3 linked regions of the Saccharomyces cerevisiae S288C genome follow. The gene in region 2 interacts genetically with the main gene of each other region. Each region holds a gene or a part of one and is shown on either strand. Other genes may lie near its edges.

What was found. A genetic interaction does not mean that the proteins touch.
Region 1: mutations in GRH1 (region 2) and YLL053C together harm fitness more than expected from each alone (negative genetic interaction), as found in Saccharomyces cerevisiae (one large-scale study listed by BioGRID).
Region 3: mutations in GRH1 (region 2) and YER188C-A together harm fitness more than expected from each alone (negative genetic interaction), as found in Saccharomyces cerevisiae (one large-scale study listed by BioGRID).

Annotation. Positions count from the first base shown.
Region 1 is NC_001144.5:35,003-37,742, reverse strand, and holds YLL053C (uncharacterized protein), read left to right. Parts: upstream 1-1,781; coding exon 1,782-2,240; downstream 2,241-2,740. Other genes in the region: FRE6 (putative ferric-chelate reductase), read left to right, coding at 1-410; AQY2 (Aqy2p), read left to right, coding at 1,382-1,831; YLL054C (uncharacterized protein), read left to right, coding at 2,539-2,740.
Region 2 is NC_001136.10:1,475,444-1,478,937, forward strand, and holds GRH1 (Grh1p), read left to right. Parts: upstream 1-1,795; coding exon 1,796-2,914; downstream 2,915-3,494. Other genes in the region: EMI2 (putative glucokinase), read right to left, coding at 1-1,033; protein disulfide isomerase EUG1, read left to right, coding at 3,165-3,494. UniProt on the Saccharomyces cerevisiae protein: Involved in the spindle assembly checkpoint. Involved in ER to Golgi vesicle-mediated transport by either facilitating USO1-dependent and -independent tethering or increasing target accuracy of fusion events of COPII-coated vesicles.
Region 3 is NC_001137.3:569,108-571,783, forward strand, and holds YER188C-A (uncharacterized protein), read right to left. Parts: upstream 801-2,676; coding exon 501-800; downstream 1-500. Other genes in the region: YER189W (uncharacterized protein), read left to right, coding at 2,048-2,416; YRF1-2 (Y' element ATP-dependent helicase protein 1 copy 2), read left to right, coding at 2,373-2,676.

The DNA of each region.
Region 1 (2,740 bases), on a different chromosome or scaffold from region 2:
ATAAACCCAAGAGTATAGATTTGATCATGGCGATCAAAAATCCTTCTTTTCTTAACGGCTATAAATCCGAGATACTAGAGCTAAAAAATAGCCGATCCCACGTCAACGTGCAGGTTTACCTTACACAGAAAACAGCTGTTACAAAGGCAGCAAACGCACGAGACCAATTAATACATTTTGATGATATAATGACCGAACTGACAAGCTTCGCCCACATCGGCAATGCAAGACCTAATTTTAGCAATGTAATTGAAAACGCAATAAAAAGTACGCCGCCTGGAGATTCATTAGCGGTCGTGTGCTGCGGCCCTCCTGTTCTGGTGGACGATGTTAGAAACACCGTTTCTCAAAAACTCCTCGGTTACCCAGAGAGAATTATAGAGTATTTCGAGGAATATCAGTGTTGGTAAATCTTCTCTCCGGCTCCTTCTGATCCTACGCCCACCTATATCTACATATATCTACGGCACTAAAAACTTTTATGTACCGCATAAAAGGTGCTCTTTAGCAACTATTTTTAGTTAATTATTTGCGTTTTAGCTTTCAGGAATTTGCTTGCTAAGACGATGTCTAATAAATCCGGTACTTCTTTACTTGCAATTAATTACTAAGCGGCGCCTGAATTTTTCCGGCTTGATGCCGAGCAAAAATTAACTCTAAATCCCTTTCTGGGAACGAGTCTTTGAAGTTCTACGGTCTTTTGTCTCAGGAAAATATGTCCCGAGAAAGATGGAATAAGTATGGATTTTGTCCTTAACCAGTGGAGGTGGCGCTGCAGTCCTTCTTTTCAGACCCAAGCAAACAGACCAAAGGACATTTTTTTGGAAAATGTTAAGAATCAACCCTCCGAAATCTTTTCACGGCTCAAATTACTGCGGCCTTTTTCTGCTTCTTAAAAATGGGAGCATGATTATTTAATTAGCATTGCATCTGCGTGCACCGTAACTACTACAGTACTTTTACTGCCGCTGAGACGACAGCACGATCTGTTTTAACGTCGTAGGTGTATTTTTTTTTTTCCCGCTAAAAGAGCACCGCCATAATAATGACTTACCTCCTCCAATCCTTCTAGATGTTTTTCTTTAAACTCCTACAGTGAATTAGATTATTGCAAGTGCAAATTAAAAAAAAACCTAAAAAAAAAAAAGAAGGAAATAGTTTTTGTCCATACCGGACTATGGCTTTCATTAACGAATTAGAGCGCCGCTGTTATCCTTTTATTAACTTTTTATCGTGAATCATATCTGCCCCTCTCTCGGTTGATAGTATAAATATGTTGGTTTTAGTAGCTTATTAGTGTGCGCATGTCTTTTTTCTTGTTCCTGGCTATTACAATTCCTGAAAATATTCAAAAGCGACACTAGCCTACCTTAGTTATACTATGTCTAACGAATCTAACGACCTTGAAAAAAACATTTCGCACTTGGACCCGACCGGTGTTGACAATGCTTATATTCCACCTGAACAGCCGGAAACGAAGCATTCGCGTTTTAATATTGACAGAGATACCTTAAGAAACCACTTTATCGCTGCTGTGGGTGAGTTTTGCGGTACCTTCATGTTTTTATGGTGTGCTTACGTCATTTGTAATGTCGCTAACCATGATGTGGCTTTGACAACCGAGCCTGAGGGCTCTCATCCAGGTCAATTGATCATGATTGCCCTTGGTTTCGGTTTCTCTGTGATGTTTTCTATCTGGTGTTTCTGGTGGGGCTTTGAACCCAGCCGTTTCTCTCTCTTTGTGTTTGGCCAGAGCCATCTCACCAGCCAGATGTGTAGTGATGTGGTTTCCTCAGATCATTGCTGGGATGGCTGCTGGTGGTGCCGCTAGTGCTATGACTCCAGGCAAGGTTCTCTTTACTAATGCTTTGGGTTTAGGCTGTTCCAGATCTAGGGGGTTGTTTTTGGAAATGTTTGGTACTGCTGTGTTGTGTTTAACAGTTTTGATGACTGCTGTTGAAAAACGTGAAACTAACTTTATGGCTGCGCTTCCAATTGGTATTTCTTTATTCATGGCTCACATGGCTTTGACCGGTTACACTGGTACCGGTGTCAACCCTGCAAGATCTCTGGGTGCCGCCGTTGCTGCCAGATATTTCCCTCATTACCACTGGATCTACTGGATTAGCCCACTTTTGGGTGCCTTCTTAGCCTGGTCAGTGTGGCAATTATTACAAATCCTTGATTACACTACATACGTTAATGCCGAAAAGGCGGCAGGTCAAAAGAAGGAAGACTGAGAGTAGTCTGCTCAGAATTTTATCTTTTTTGGCATAACGCTCCCATCGTAGTTTAATTTAATTTAATTTAATTTAATATAATAATATCTTATTTTTCATATTTACTGTCCTTTATTTTTTTTTTGTTTTTATCTCTTCTGGTCAGAGTTCTGTTTTTACGTAAGCGGCAGAAGTATGCATTCTTCACATTTTTTCCTCCTAAAGGCAACATTGAGGCCAAACTTTGGAAACAAAGATGATGTGAAGTAATTATTTACCCATCAGAAATCTATGACAAGATAAGTGTACTGCACTGGATATGAGCATTGCATCTCAGAAAAAGGTTAAGCCATCGTTTGTTTGCTTGCGGTGTAAGCAAAGGAAAATCAAATGTGATAAACTTTGGCCTACTTGCTCCAAATGCAAGGCCTCATCCTCGATTTGTAGCTACGAAGTGGAACCAGGACGGATTAACAAATCTCCCACTATCGAAAATGCCCCACATAGAGACATTAGAAACA
Region 2 (3,494 bases):
TTGCATGCAAGTCCACCAGGATGTTCCTTAACAGCTCACCCAAGTACATGCCGGAAATTCTTTTTTCAAATAGATGGTAACCTGGATTTGGAGAAAATTTTTGGTCAATATCGATGTCATACTTTGTAGCAGACAAATGTTTCAATTCATTGTCGAAAGAACCCCATTCGATGTTGATGCACATTTGGGTTTTTCCTTCATGCAGCAGTCTTGTTCTGAGCTCATCTGGTAGCTTCTTGATGTTTTCAATATCCTCCATATAGCAACCGTTAGTACCAGTACCAAAGATACAACCAATGACAGGCTCGCTAATCTCACCAGCACTCGATGGACGAGAGCCTGAAGTGTAGCAGTGGGATAGGAAAGTGCCAACCGTGTCGTTGGTCAAAGCTACCACATTAATCATAGAGAGCCCCTGAATGTCTAATTGCTCCTGGTATAACCTCACGACATCCTTGCCGACCGTGTCTTCAATCTTGAAGCTTTTGGTCCATCTGATTAAAGTACCGGAACTCAAAGAGGTTTGGTCAACGGGATATGAGAAGGTAAATCCCATTTTCAAAGGTTTTATGTTCTCCCCCGTGGACTTCAACAACTCAGGATGATGCTTCCTAACGAAGGCCCTTGTACGGCGACCCAGGTAGCTAAACAGCTCCTCGCTGGTGACATCCTTGTCATTTAGATATTCTTCCGGAATCTTAGACTTCAATTGCTGCATATCAAAGGTTCCGTCACCATTCAAAGTCACAGAACACACTCTGAAGTGAGTCCCACCTAAATCTGCAGCCAGCAAAACACCACGTTCCGTCCCATTGGGCAAACTGGTTACATATGTAGGGATCATGGGTAGACCCTTGTCCACCGTCTTTTCTTCGCCTACAGAGGTGTTATTCAACCCCTTTTCCATACATTCAATGAAGTACGCTGTTAGTTCGTCCAACTTTGCTGCATCAACCTGCAATGAGGAGCAGATCTCAACCACTGCATCTTCCAATGCCTCAGCATTGACTTTATGTAAATTTTCAAATGACATTACTGTGTATCTATGATTCGATTCTTGTACAATTCTTCCTTGATACACTGATATCTGTTTCTATTTAAACTTCCTATAAGTATGAGACGTACAAAAGAACACGAGACAAGATGAGATTTTACACTTACACAGAATCGACTTTATATAATCCCGAATACATGTTTCCCCCCCCTGCATCGCAAGCATAATAGAATTCGACGACCCGATCTTCTTCCTCTGTCTTCCACACACACAAACACTAATTCACTCTCACTCTCTCACTTTCCCTTTCGACGACACACACAAAAAGACTTTCTGGATGCCCCGCGTTTTTTGTCACTTGATTCTTCGAACAAAGACGCAGGCAACTACCCCTGAAGGGCCCACCCGAAAGTAGTTGCTACTGCTCGTTGCGGTGGCTGCCAGAGTGGCGACGTAGCGTTGCGTTGTGGCTAACATTGGTGAGACAACCCGATTAAATTACTTAATGGGCTCTCCCACCGCCTTTGCACCCAGTGACAGCCATTTTGAAGATAGCATCGGGCTGGCTTCCAAATAAAATCTAGGTCGTTTCTATTAAGTTCGTTTCGTTATTTTTCTGTCTTCGCGGCGGACACGCAAGCCGACGACGACGAGGTTTAGTTGCATTTTGGCTATCATAAAAGAAATGGGCTTGTCGCAACGGGATCAGGACCAAGAACAGGGGTGCTGAGACTACTACTGTAACTGCGACCGACACAGCGTGCGAAACTAGGGAAGTAAAAAGGTATAGGAAGAAGAACTATGTTTAGAATAGCTAAAAACCTCGTACGGACTTTTGAGCAGAGCGTGCAAGATACCCTGGCACTCTCGCAGGACTCGAGCAATCTGGACGCTTTCTTTCAGTCTATACCACCAAATTTGTTGTCTGCTCAGTTGGAATCACCCGTAGATGCGGTTTCTGAAGGTGTTAAGCACACCAACGTCAATGAAACGCTTTCCGGTCTCCGCATTGTTTGGGTGGACGAGATGCAGTTCCAACTGCAGTCCTTTTTCGACTATATAGTAGGTTTCAATGATGATCCGGTGCCGGTGGTCAGTAATCAACACGGATTTTCGTACCCAGATTACCGTCGTATCACATCCATCTTCAATGAACACTGTGGCCGAACTTTGAAGGTCAACATATGGTCAGCTAAAGGAGGCACGTTCAGAGACGAGTATATCAGCATTATATCGAAGGAGAGCGACGATTTGGACGATGTTTCTCTAAACCATGACGAGAGGAGGCCATCTAGTGGGGAAGCGCACCAGTTCCAAGCACTCGGGTTCAAAGTCCAATGGACGCCTTTGATAGCTTCCACTTTCACATACCATATCCTGAACGTGAACATCCCAGATGGACCCGCCCAATCGGCAGGGCTCATCCCAGATGAAGACTACATTATCGGCTGCCAAGATGGCCTGTTGGCCACGGGAGGGGAGACGCTTTTACAAGATATTGTTAGATCAAGAGCAAACTACGATCTGGTCCTTTATGTCTACAACAAAGTTTCTGACTGTGTGAGACCAATCACAGTTCATATAGGTCCCGACGGCAGGTTGGGTTGCAACGTTGGATACGGGTTTCTTCACAGGATTCCAACAGTAAAGCACTGTCCACAACAAGCACAGCAGCAGGGGCAAGATGACAACCCTGTTCCTGTTCCTGTTCCAGTAGAATCTGAGACGGCTTTTGTGCCATCAGCATTCACAGCACCACCGGTGCCAACAAAGAAGAAATCAAAAAATAAAAAGGGTACCCAGCCATTGGCAATGGATGACTATTTTAATGAAGGCAGAGATAAGTCATCTACCGCTGCGAAGTCAGCAGAATCTGACATCCTCGCCCCACCACCACAAAAACAGTCATCCTCTGATTAACTTTCCTGGTTAGTCTTTTGGTTTTGTTTCATAGCAAAATTAAATATATATATATAAGCTTGCTTTCCCTTCAAAACACGTAAACGATAGTTGGCAATGTACGAAAAGTACCGAGACTTTTTTTCAAAGGCACGCGTGTCCTTTTTTGTTAAGACAATAGATATTTTAGCATTCAGAAAGTTTCAATTTCCAAGACTTGACGTTTCAATTATATGGCAATCTCCCAACAAGCACCCGCTCATATAATACCATGCAAGTGACCACAAGATTTATATCTGCGATAGTCTCGTTTTGCCTGTTTGCTTCTTTCACGTTGGCTGAAAACAGCGCAAGAGCTACGCCGGGATCAGATTTACTCGTTCTAACAGAGAAGAAATTTAAATCATTCATCGAATCTCATCCGTTAGTCCTCGTCGAGTTTTTTGCTCCATGGTGTTTGCATTCTCAGATCTTACGCCCTCACTTAGAAGAGGCCGCCTCTATTTTAAAGGAGCATAACGTCCCAGTTGTTCAAATTGATTGTGAGGCTAACAGTATGGTTTGCCTGCAACAAACTATAAATACCTACCCAACCTTGAAA
Region 3 (2,676 bases), on a different chromosome or scaffold from region 2:
TAGATTCGACGTATTGAAGTACTTCTTGGCCACTTTTCATCTTCTGACGCGGTGAGCTTTTAAGAGCCCTTCTTTTTCGACTGGCCACGTGAGAAGACATACAGTTCAGCTTACATAGCTTTGGCCCATACAATACCTATGTGCCCCAAACCGCAGAGACGATTAGCACACCTTTTTACCTGCACCACAGTCATTTCTCGATAATGGTGAAAACACAGTGATACCACCGCACAGCAAAGGTGCTGCCAATGGACTTGAAATATTTTATGGAGTGCGAATAAAAAAATGCTCATGGACTCGAATATGAGATGCAAAGCCACCCTGTGCAAAATGGTTATCCTTGTGGGAGAGTGTTACGACAGTGATGTGGCATATTATTCTAATGTATGGTCTGTGTAAGTACGAAATATTCTGAAATGGCATCCGTTCAAGCAATGGTAATATTAAGGAACTTATACGTTAATGACGTCATGGTGGTATTGATACGTAATTGAGTGTGTTTATGTATTATCGTTGAAGGATAGAATATTTTTATGTTTAGGTGATTTTAGTGGTGATTTTTTTGTAATATTGACATAAGTGTATATAAATTGAGTGGATAGTAGATGGTGAAAAAGTGGTATAACGTATGTATTAAGGGCAGTTATACAATATTTGGGGCCGCCGAATGAGATATAGATATTAAAATGTGGATAATCGTGGGCTTTATGGGTAAATGGCACAGGGTATAAACCGCTGAGGCAAGTGCCGTGCATAATGATGTGAGTGCATTTGTACTGATTTAGTGAGAGATGGGCCATGGAGTGGAATGTGAGAGTAGGGTAAGTTTGAGAGTGGTATACTGTAGTAGCATCCGTGTGCGTATGCCATATCAGTATACAAGTGAGGGTGAGTATGGCATGTGGTGGTGGGATTGGAGTGGTAGGGTAAGCACGTGTGTATTATTTACGATCATTTGTTAACGTTTCAATATGGTGGTAGAACAACAGTATAGTGAGTAGGACATGGTGGATGGTAGGGTAATGGTAGGGTAAGTGGTGGTGGAGTTGGATATGGGTAATTGGAGGGTAACGGTTATGGTGGACGGTGGGTTGGTGGTAGGAAGTAGAGGGATGGATGGTGGTTGGGGTGGTATGGTTGAATGGGACAGGGTAACGAGTGGACAGTAGGGTAATGGAGGGTAAGTTTGGAGACAGGTTGGCGAGGGTTAGATTAGGATAGCATATCTATGTCACCTTATTGCATGCTGGATGGTGTTAGACAAGGCCGTAGGGACATATAGCATCTAGGAAGTAACCTTGTACGAAAATAGGCAATATTTCCTGTTTGACGCAGATTTTAGCCCAAAGATCTAGCGTTAAGGAATTTTTTTATAGTGGGACATTGCAAACCAAGGAAGTAACTTGATACGTCGTTGGTGAATGGGTCTGTTTTCTTATTCGGCGGGGTAATACATTTTGAGGGAAGGTTGTCTGTCTGACGCGCCATATGTAGGTACGCCAAAAAGGGCTCCTTTACTTCGAAGCGCGAGGTCGTATACCTAATAAGGAAATGTAATTTATAACTTTTTATTATATTGGTCTTTTCGAGAGCGGAAGAAGTTGTAGGCTAAGCGCAGGCTAAGCGTAGGTCCATGTTTAAAGTATCCAAGAGAATATCCACGAAGCGGCTGAGCAACGAACAGAATCCTGGTTCTCCTCGACTAAGCAGATAGTTAAGATACTGTGCACCATGGAAATTGAAAACGAACGTACGTACCGACTACTTTATTTTTGCAGGCCGGAAATCAAGCGATGAATGAGACATCCTTCTGTTTTCTATGTTGTGCTTGAAGGGGACAGACAGTCGCTTATCTTAGTGAGATTTTGTTTGCTTTTGCTGCACCTGCATAGCGCAGATTCTGCATCTTCTCAATAGCTTAATTATTACATTCTTAGATGATGATAAGACGGAAACTGGAGAATCTTTTGTTTATATTGATGGATTTCTTGTCAAAAAGCATAACAATCAACATACTATTGTTAATTTCGAAACTTACAAAAATAAAATGAAAGTTTCCGATAGGCGTAAGTTTGAAAAAGCAAACTTTGACGAGTTTGAGTCGGCTCTAAATAACAAAAACGACTTGGTACATTGTCCCTCAATAACTTTATTTGAATCGATCCCCACGGAAGTGCGGTCATTCTACGAAGACGAAAAGTCTGGCCTAATCAAAGTGGTAAAATTCAGAACTGGTGCAATGGATAGGAAAAGGTCTTTTGAAAAAATTGTCATTTCCGTCATGGTCGGGAAAAATGTACAAAAGTTCCTGACGTTTGTTGAAGACGAACCAGATTTCCAGGGCGGACCAATCCCTTCAAACAAACCACGTGATGGTCTACACGTTGTTTCAAGTGCATACTTTGAAATTCAATAGAAAGGATTACGATACCCTTTCTCTTTTTTACCTCAACAGAGGATACTATAATGAGTTGAGTTTCCGTGTCCTGGAACGTTGTCACGAAAAAGCGAGTGCTAGGCCGAACGACAGCTCTACGATGCGTACTTTCACTGACTTTGTTTCCGGCGCACCTATTGTAAGGAGTCTTCAGAAAAGTACCATAAGGAAATATGGGTACAATTTGGCACCCTACATGTTTTTGTTACTACACGTAGATGAGCTATCGATTTTTTCTG